2 linked regions of the Arabidopsis thaliana genome follow. The protein of the gene in region 1 interacts with the protein of each later gene in a biochemical or structural test. Each region holds a gene or a part of one and is shown in the gene's direction. Other genes may lie near its edges.

Region 1 (5,639 bases):
TTCCCCTTGTTCGTCTAGGGTTGGCGCTGCATCCCTGTTGAAAGATGCGAAGTTAAGGCACATGTCTTCAAGAGCCTCATGCAGAGGTACCGCGAGATCCAAGTGTACACCTAGAGGTTCCACCAAGTTAGTTGCGGAAGGCCCAAAAAAATTGCACTCCTTAATTGTCTCGCCCCCGGGATAGTCGTTTTCGTCGTTGTACGCTTCCCCTTCACTGAGAGAGTCGTAAGATTCAGTGGCTAAATTAATTGACGGTAACCCCAGATTTTTAAGTAAATCTGCCTCAACAACAGTTGAGTCTTCTTCCTGCGTAAATAGATGTCTTAGTACTGTAATGGTATATTCGAGTGGCTGAATTTAATAAACGCAGAATATTTTACCTGATCTCCATCTTCAGTCGCTGTGTCCATACTTTCAGTCGTTAACATCGGGGAAGCTGCCTCAACAGCTGGTCTCACAGGGTGTTGTTGTACGTTGGTAGAAGAGTCTCCAACGTTTTGACCTTCTGTTTCCGTTGAACGCATCCAGCGGAGGACCGCCTCGTCATCCATAAGCCTTTTCCACACAACGGACTCGTAGTTAGGTGATCGTTCAGCGTTGACGTATAAAGGTGATTTGCCTTTATCTGCAAATCCGTAACTTGAAGTCTGACTTGTTCCACCATCTTCGGAACCATCATCCACCGTTTGCTTGGAGACAAACAAACTCAAGTCCTCCAACTCAAAACGCATAGCTAGAAACACTCCCATTGTCTCCTCTGAAGTTATGCTTACTGGCTTCGTGCGCCCACCAAAGGTAGTTTCCATGTCCATCCAATCAGGCCATTGGTAAGTCAGGTGTAGTGGGCCTTCAACGTATTCCTGTCCGTACGCTTCTCTAACAAGCTGGCGCACAGATGCTAACTTCTCCCCTTCCCCAATGCTCAACCTCCTCACTGCATTATTGTGATTGGATATGAATAACCATGTTCCATCAGCTCCGATTGCCCAGGAGCCACTCACCGTCCTGACATAACGATCGTCGGTTATTTCGGTTATAACCACCATCGGTACCTACACATTAATAGAGTTGCATTAAATAGAGATAAATCAACCATGAGTTTTTTAAAAATAGCAACAAACCCGACCAAAAGAACATTCATTAATTGCATACCAAAACAGAAATGATCGAGTTCTTCGATGTTGTTGGATACGTAGTGTGTGCTTTATAGGAAGAAGTAGAGGTGTGAGAGATGATATCTTGCCATCTTTCTTCTTTTATAGAAAAGGTTAACTTTGTTTTTTAGGGCTACAGTAACTAAAGATATTTCTAGTAACAGTTGCTTAACCATTTGCAGCCACGCGAATTTCAAAACGGTATGATTTCCCTCCCAACACCCGAGGGAGGCGTGAAGCGACAATTCACGAATGTCAAATCGAAGTGGTAAGCGTTCTTTATTTGTATTGCATGTTATCGTCAAAATAACCAGGTGATTTACTTAGTCTTTGCTTTACACATTTTCGTGAACCGAGGTAGTATATCTTCTGCCCCCACTTGCCTATTCGTAATCTTGACGTCATTGACCAACGTGTCAACTTAACGACCTGCCATTCTGTAGCGTATAGCATAAGCACACAAACCTTGCTTTACACAATTAACCAATGTCAAATCGAAGTGTTAAGTGTTCTTTATTTGTATTGCATGTTATCGTCAAAATAACCAGGTGATTTACTTAGTCTTTGCTTTACACATTTTCGTGAACCGAGGTAGTATATCTTCTGCCCCCACTTGCCTATTCGTAATCTTGACGTCATTGACCAACGTGTCAACTTAACGACCTGCCATTCTGTAGCGTATAGCATAAGCACACAAACCTTGCTTTACACAATTAACCAATGTCAAATCGAAGTGTTAAGTGTTCTTTATTTGTATTGCATGTTATCGTCAAAATAACCATGTGATTTACTTAGTCTTTGCTTTACACATTTCCGTGAACCGAGGTATAGATTCAGTATATCTTCTGCCCCCACTTGCCTATTCGTAATCTTGACGTCATTGACCAACGTGTCAACTTATCGACCTGCCATTTTGTAGCGTATAGCATAAGCACACAAACCTTGTGTTAAAAAGTGCTACACTAAAGAAAAGGGTTTACACATACAACAATATATTACGTTGGAAGCTGTATATCCTCTGACGCCGCATTAAATGCGTCTGATACGTATCTCCATCTCTCTTTGCTCGCGCTTTTTATTGTCACATCCGGGAATTTTTCTAATAATTTTCTCTTATGTTTTCTTTCCAAGTTGCTCCGATATGATTATTGTGATTTTAAAACATCACATGTTGTTTCCGTAGTACTTGTGCTGTTTACCAAATCGTAGTACTTCTGCTGGTCATAGATTCAAGGTAAAAGCCCATTCACCTTGTTGAATAATCAATCCAGTACAATACTCACCCGAAAAAGTTACCAGCCCAATATCGTGGTATATACTCCATTTCAATACTAATTTTTTTGTTTTTTAATGATTATTTTTTTAAAAAAAAAATGAAATAAATCCTTTCATAGTACATGCTGCTGCAGTTGTAAATTGCATGTATTTTATGAAACGTTCAGTACAAACTTAGAAAGTTGTAGTAATGAAAGCTCTAAATTGAGATCTACACTCATAAATAGTTCATGCTTTATTTAGTAGTAACTGCATAAGTAATGCATGCTTTTTTTTTTTGATACGTTGTAATCATTGCCCTACAATCTCTAGCTCCCCTACATCTACAAGTCTGCTGTCGGGAATATGGTTTTGCCGCCCATCCGTAGAGGCTATATCGGATATTTCGCATGGTAAAAAAACGTTATATACCCAACTTTTCTGGGAGAAGGTCATTCTCTTAATAAGGATGTCAAATTTGGTCATTCAGTAAATTAACCCTTAAAAAAATGCAAAATAATTTGTTTATGTGACAAAGAAATGGATTTTATCTATAACTATCAAGAAGAAGAAAACACTCGGCTATATATATACGTACAACACATAAGAAAAACAAACCAATCACTTCACTCTCTCTAATCAAAAAGCTTTTAACCTCAGCCGTTAAATCTTTCTCCGATCATGCCGACCAGAAACATCGCCATTGGTGGAGTCCAAGAAGAGGTCTATCACCCCAACGCACTTAGGGCGGCGCTCGCTGAGTTTATCTCGACTTTGATCTTCGTCTTCGCCGGCTCAGGCTCCGGAATTGCTTTCAACAAGATCACTGACAATGGAGCAACCACTCCTTCCGGCCTCGTCGCCGCTGCCTTAGCTCATGCTTTCGGTCTCTTTGTCGCTGTCTCTGTTGGCGCTAACATTTCCGGTGGCCACGTTAACCCTGCCGTTACCTTCGGTGTCTTACTCGGTGGTAACATCACTCTCCTCCGTGGTATTCTCTACTGGATTGCTCAGCTTCTTGGCTCCGTCGCCGCTTGTTTCCTCCTTAGCTTTGCCACCGGTGGCGAGGTAACGTCACTTACACCTAATTAGATTTTAGTAGTATTTTCGATTCTCTGTTTCTCTATTTTGTGGTTTGGTTTAAAACTAAATTCAATTGAATATTCCAACTAAAATAACCCGTTTGACCTAACTTCTCCGGCAAGTAAATAAACCTTTTTGCAAATGATTGTTTTTTCAGCCAATTCCAGCGTTCGGTCTCTCTGCCGGAGTCGGATCATTAAACGCTCTCGTCTTCGAGATCGTGATGACCTTCGGGCTCGTCTACACCGTCTACGCCACAGCCGTTGACCCCAAGAACGGTAGTCTCGGAACAATCGCACCAATCGCCATAGGTTTCATCGTTGGAGCTAACATCCTCGCCGGTGGAGCTTTCAGCGGAGCTTCCATGAACCCAGCCGTTGCTTTCGGACCAGCCGTCGTAAGCTGGACGTGGACCAACCACTGGGTTTACTGGGCTGGTCCTCTTATTGGTGGTGGACTCGCCGGAATTATCTACGACTTTGTCTTCATCGATGAAAATGCCCACGAGCAATTGCCTACCACCGATTACTGAAGACGTCAAATTCAACGTTGTTAATCTGATGAATTTTTCGTGATTTGCTTTTTTAATTTGCATCGTAATGGGTTTCTGGCCGTTGGATCATTTTTAGATGAATCTTTGTCTATTGATTGATCATTTATGTGTCTTTGGGTTTGTTGTTGGAGTTGTAATATCTCTGGAAGGCTTTTGTGCAATTGTATTGTACGGTTTAATAACTATAATTGAGAAAACCAGGGAATGTGAATTATGAAAATGAATTTTTTTGTTATTGTTTATTTTACTTAAAGAGCCCTAACTAATTTAGATCATAATTTACGAGACATGGAAATTTTAATGAATAATAAACATTGTGATTGATATTTTTGGTTTTCATTTCCGTTTTTTATATTTTATATCAACACACTACAGTAGTACATATTTACACATGATTTATGTCCAGGCTAAAATTGTATATTAAGCGTTGAAAAATCATCGAGTGTTACACTTAGGAGGGGTTCGACTTCCATGTGTAAAAATAATACTAGCAATTCGCAAATAACTTTACAAACACAAGTCATGACTCATGAGCTAAGGTTCAAATTACTTTGGGTTGCAATGTATGCGTTTCATTTCTATATCGTTCCAATCACAGCATTATTATTTCCTTCTTTGTGAGTCTTCTTCCAACATTTCGGCGGGAATCTGTAGGGAGATTTTCGTCATTCGGATTTCATTTTGTTTGGTTTCAAAACGTGAATAGCAATAGATGGATGGGAATAGATTCGCTAAAATCTTTGTGGGGTTAATGGATAATAAAGTTCGTGAAACGTCTGGACAGTATACGAACCATCTACCTCTATAACCAACCCCACAGGCCATAACAGTATAACATGATTCATGATCAAGAGTTCTGCTAAAAACAAAAAATCAATAGTTCTGCTAAAAACAAAAAAAATTAAGAAACTCTTCCAAACACATATGAGCCTAATTTATTAGGGACTATGCCAGAACCAAAGTATCAGTTATCGTAAATCGTAGATCCAAAATTTTTAATCGTTCGGGTAAACATAAAAAATACCAAAAAACCAACCCAAAACAATACAAGCGATTGAATGTTTAAAACTAAAAAGTTGGATTAAAAGCGACGCATGCATGTGGAATTGTGGATGGTGGTCTAATACATTGATCATTTTTTTGTTCTTCTAATAAACCAGCTTGATTTTTGATAGTTTGGACGTAAAGTTTGCTAAGATAGATTAGAACTAACAAAACTAGCTAACTCTAGGCTTACCAAACCACGAACAAAGAATCAAAGACAATAATGCAGTTCATATATACGATCTATGCAATTACCATGTGCAACGTTGGACCATTCGTACACCGCACCATTACTTAATTGTTCCTACCTTCCTTTTTGTTCTTTCTATATAAATCTTTTCCATATCCTGCCACACACTAATCCATATGTCTTCCCATTGACGGCATTAAAAGAAAAAGAGAGAGATTGATGTCGATAAATTCTTAGATAAACACAAAAACCAACACATGCAAACCTAACATCTATAAGAAACCTTGAAATCAGTTATCTCTAACCTTATACTTAAATTCTTCTAATTTTGGTTTTCTTGATATTAGTGGACAAAACATTT
Region 2 (5,154 bases), on another chromosome or scaffold:
AGAACGCATGAAGCCTATAATCCCGCCTTCATGCCTATAAAATCAACATATTAATTACAACTAATGCTAAACACACAAACTGCAACTGCTTTCAAATTGCAGCTGCCTTATGATTGTACGTACTTGCACCACTTATAATTTGCGAACGCCACAAGGAGAAAAAGGTGAGCAATGAGCAAGCATACTGCAAATTCTTTGGACACAAAAACTCGTTCTGGAACAAATTTGAAGTTAACAGACCTGTTGAGAGCTCAAACTAGAGTTAGAGGTCAAAAGACATTTTTAGATCCCATCAACATGTTTTTTAGATTTGGCGGGAGAGAAGCGAACAATACCAGAAATGAATGAAAACACGTCCAAGATCAAAGGCGTTTGCTATGTATGAAACCGGATATGTTATCAGAAACGGCAGTCCCACGAGTATCTGTATAACCATTCATTGACCAGCTGAATGGTACTTCTTGCATAATCAAAACTATAATTCGCTGGATAATGCAACTCACCTATTTACATTGAAGAAACTACAGTTAACAAGTTTCCAAATTGTCTTGGAGAAACAATGCTACGCATACAAATTGGTGAATAAGAAGGCTTATAAGAGATATAGTGAAACCTGAACAAGAGCTGCACCAGCCAAAGCAGACACCACTCCAATGATATTCATGGCCTGTGAATAGTAAAACTTCACATATGAAGAAAAACAATGCTAGAAGAATAATAAAGCAAATCCATAAACTAATTCTCTTCCACGAACATATATACCTTAAGTAGCAGAAGTAACAAAGTTGGAGCATACAAAAGTACATTCATCTTTACAGAAACAGCTCCACTGTATAAAAAGAAGGGTAAGCAGACTAGTCAATCTAAAGAATCGAGAAGCAAAAGCAGCAATCTAACCTGAAAACAAGCATCCCTAGATGCCATTTACGATAGAGAAAGAGAGCCATTGATGCATGTAGGAGAGTCATGGCAAAACAATCATTAAAGAGACGGAGAACAAAGATTGAATGTATCCTCTTGGATAAACATAGTAGACTTAATGCCCACCATGGCACCTGAAATACGTAAGGATACAAGAAGAGATATCATCACTGAATTCACTAAAATCACTCCCATCATAAACAGACAAATCAAAACCAAAATATTGTTCATTAACATCGTAAATGGACAACGCTTGACAACGTCTACAAATACTTGATGAAAAGAGATAAGAAATAAGTCTTCATTTATACCACATCAGTCTTCACGTAGATGATCAAGACGATCCCCAGATTGACAATGTAGAGAACACCAAAAAGAATCTGCAAAATGTAAGAGAGTAGAATTGAGACAAATGAAGCGATGGATGGATCAAATTCCGCAGCTAATCCAAAGATAGGAGATTCAAAGAGAGGGAATTGCAAGCACCTGAGCAGGGTAGACTTCCCCTCCAGTTAAGTTCTGCACTGCAGAGTAAACATAGAGGAAACCTGCTGGATAAACCAATGGCCCTGTATCGCCTTTCAAGTTCCCATAGTCTCTCTCTCCCCCGAGAAACCCACTAACCTGCCCCAATTAGATAAATTTCACTTAAAGACTACTAGTTTACTTTGAAGAAACCACAGTTGACCATTGACACTTACCTGTGACATGTAAGCATCCCAATCGATCTTCGTGTCTGTTAAAGGCAAATGACGAAATTTGGTTTAAAACCTATGCAAATGCACATTTCGAGGGATACGCAAGCAAAAAAAAAAAGGAGGTAAATAGCTCTCACATGGAACATAGGCGATAATAAGTGCGACTAGGATTGCATCAGCAAGAATTAGCGCGAATGCGAATGGAACTGCAGGTTTTTTGAATAGATCGGATCGATTCGTCTCCTTCCCCAGCCGACGGCTACGAGAAGCTCTCAAACTCGCCGGTGATGAGGCGCCCGCCATGAAAACAGAGCAAATCGCATCAGCGTCTAGCCAACGCCGCGTAACAGACAACTACTTCCATATTACTACTCTTCTAATTAGCCCAAATTAAATGAGCCTATTGGGCTTCTTGTCTTAGTCGGTGTAGAGCCCAATTGTTGTTTTATTTTTTAATAATGCAAAAGTATTAAGCGATAAATAAATAAGCATCGCAATCGTCCCAAAACTGTGTGTATGCATCAGACATGAGCATATAGAGTAAGCACGTGTCCACACTTTTTCACAAAGTTATCTAAAAACAAAAAACAATTAATTAGCATTCGACGTGTACATATCACTCGCCACGTGTACAAGAGCCTTGGCCTTTTTGCTTCTTCTTCTTGTCTATTAATATCATCTCCTGATTATACTCTCTTTTGACCAAGCTGCTTCTTCTCCATCTATCCAACATCTCAAATCTCAGTAATCTTGTTCCTTCGATTCTGTTTTGGACGTTTGTAATGGATTCTCAGGACATCAGATACCGCGGCGGAGACGACAGAGACGCTGCAACGACGGCTATGGCCGAGACAGAGAGGAAAAGCGCTGACGACAACAAAGGAAAACGCGATCAAAAGAGGGCGATGGCGAAACGTGGTCTCAAGTCTCTGACGGTAGCGGTTGCGGCTCCTGTGCTCGTGACGCTCTTCGCTACGTATTTCCTCGGCACAAGCGACGGATACGGGAATCGAGCTAAGTCCTCGTCGTGGATCCCACCTCTGTGGCTCCTACACACAACGTGTCTCGCTTCTAGTGGTCTGATGGGTTTGGCTGCGTGGCTTGTATGGGTTGACGGTGGCTTCCACAAGAAGCCCAATGCTCTGTATCTTTACTTAGCTCAGTTTTTGCTCTGTTTGGTTTGGGATCCGGTTACGTTCCGCGTCGGGTCGGGAGTAGCGGGGCTTGCGGTGTGGTTGGGTCAATCGGCTGCGTTATTCGGATGCTACAAGGCCTTTAATGAGATAAGTCCGGTCGCTGGTAATCTGGTAAAGCCGTGTTTGGCTTGGGCTGCCTTTGTAGCCGCTGTTAATGTAAAGCTTGCAGTCGCGTGAGATCTGTAAACGCTATACGATGATGTTTGTAGAGTCTGAGTCATATGAGTGTTTCTTGTTGTTTTTGTTTTTTGTGATATATACCATAAAAGATGTCTTTGCGATCCAATGGTCTGGTCATTGTGGAGTAATAGACATGAACATGATATACTTGAGAAATAATGTGATATTGTAGAAGTTTTAAGCGTTGGTCTGAAATCAAACTGTGAGATTCTTAAAAGGCGATCGTTTTACTTTTATGTCGCCGAAACGGAACAAATTCAAACGGTAAAGCCAACTATACTTTGATCAGTTTTGGGTTGGGCCGTTGACACTGTTTTGTGGGCTTCTCAGTCAGTGGTAAACCTAAAATTAATATAGGAACTCGAGGATTAGGGCCCAATCCATTTTAACACGTGATGATATCATGTAAGGTTTGGAGGGAATATACAAAAAGTGGATGAATGATAGCGAACGAGAGGTCCTTGTGCTTTTTTGATTTACCCTCGAGACTCGTGCCGACGGAGTGGCCGTGGCTTTCGTGCAACAGTCTCGACCCATACCTCGACACGTGTTGAAAACGGTCCATTAAGAGTAAGACATCTGTCAATAGGACAGCTGTCCTAGAGGTCACTCGTCTCTCACAATCCAATCCCTTTCGCTTAAATTAAAACTAAAATGGAGCATGGCAGCAACATGCCACGTGGCTCACCAGTTTCAAATCTGAGCCGTCCGGTGTGATATAAGTCTTTTTAAAGAGAGAGAGAGCGGTTCGTTTGTCTGCAACGGCACCAAGTCTTTGACAATGGCTGAAGATGAAATAGTAGTCGAAGAAGAGCAATCACAGCCACAGGAGATTACTCCAGTTCCACCATCTTCTTCGTCTTCGCCTTCGTTAGTGGTGGAAGACGACGATGAGATGAAGCTCAAGCACTTGGAATTCATTCAAGTCGCGGCGGTTTACTTCGCCGCCTGTTTCTCGACCCTCTACGAGTTGGCTAAAGACAACGCTGGTCCACTCAAACTCGGCGTCGAGAACATTGAAGATTGCGTTCGAACCGTGCTTGCTCCATTATACGAAAAATTCCACGACGTTCCTTTCAAGCTTCTCCTTTTCGTCGATCGTAAGGTAACAATCAGAATGTAATTCTTAACTTGAATATCGCTTCGGTTTCATGAGTGAGAGGCAAATGATTTGCTTGGTTTTCAGGTGGACGATGTGTTCTTCGATGTTGAGACATATGTTCCGTCATTGGTGAAGCAAGCTTCTAGCCAAGCGCTCACGGTGGCCACGGAGGTGCAGCGCACCGGCGTTGTGGACACTACCAAGAGCATTGCAAGAAGCGTCCGGGACAAGTACGAGCCAGCGGCAGAGTATTACGCAGCGACGCTGTGGCGTTTACTGAATCAACTGCCGTTGTTCCCTGAAGTTGCGCATTTAGTGATCCCCACGGCGTTTTACTGGTCAGAGAAGTACAACGATGCGGTTCGTTACGTTGGCGACAGAGACTACTTTGGGGCAGAGTATCTACCCATGATTCCTATTGAGAAGATCTCTGATATTTTGGAACAAGATCAGTGTCGAGCTGATTGACTATTTACTCTTCTGAAGCCAAAGATTCCTTCTTCTATAGAGTATATATACTGTATGTACTCTGTTTTTCTTTCCTTTCTGCAATTTGCTATCCCAAGAGATGTAATCTTTCTTCAATATTTCATTTAAACAACTTTGCCTTTTAATAATAACAAGAACAAGAGACATAAAGGAAACTGTCCTCTTCAGTCTCAACTTTTATAAAAGACACAAGACCCAAAAAGTAGTATCTGTTTACTAGTAAGGAGAGTGTCTGTTTTTCTTGCGGTTCCTTGGCGGCTTAACAACCAACTCACTTGAAGTCCAAGACCGGTTAATCTCGGTAGCATCCTCATCCGACTTCCAGCAACATAGTCGCCCATCTTCACCCCCAGTCCATCCAAATAACCCTGCAGCTCCTCCATACTCGCCTGGCATCTGCAGAACGCTCCTTACTACATCTATGTGACCTCCACCAAGAATAGCTTCAGCGGTACCGATTGATCCAGGCTGTTTGTAGTTCACCGGAAAATAACCAACGGTTCCTGCGCACGTTCCACCGATCACCCATAAATCTTCACCTCCTGGACAATGACAATCAACAAAATAA

Evidence for each region. Proteins that work in one complex are often made in the same cells at the same time.
Region 2: the proteins of TIP2 (region 1) and TSPO form a complex in vitro, tested with the Arabidopsis thaliana proteins (one study listed by BioGRID).

What each region holds. Positions count from the first base shown.
Region 1 is NC_003074.8:9,721,154-9,726,792, reverse strand, and holds TIP2 (tonoplast intrinsic protein 2), read left to right. Parts: upstream 1-2,888; 5' UTR 2,889-3,089; coding exon 3,090-3,476; intron 3,477-3,648; coding exon 3,649-4,023; 3' UTR 4,024-4,350; downstream 4,351-5,639.
Region 2 is NC_003071.7:19,566,300-19,571,453, forward strand, and holds TSPO (TSPO(outer membrane tryptophan-rich sensory protein)-like protein), read left to right. Parts: upstream 1-2,164; 5' UTR 2,165-2,401; coding exon 2,402-2,992; 3' UTR 2,993-3,208; downstream 3,209-5,154. Other genes in the region: ALG3 (asparagine-linked glycosylation 3), read right to left, coding at 1-34, 124-240, 336-424, 614-667, 763-829, 898-1,055, 1,233-1,301, 1,408-1,545 and 2 more; AT2G47780 (Rubber elongation factor protein (REF)), read left to right, coding at 3,777-4,100, 4,182-4,565; AT2G47790 (Transducin/WD40 repeat-like superfamily protein), read right to left, coding at 4,803-5,154. UniProt on the Arabidopsis thaliana protein: Stress-induced membrane protein that can bind heme and may play a role in the transport of tetrapyrrole intermediates during salt stress and contribute to the detoxification of highly reactive porphyrins in the cytoplasm.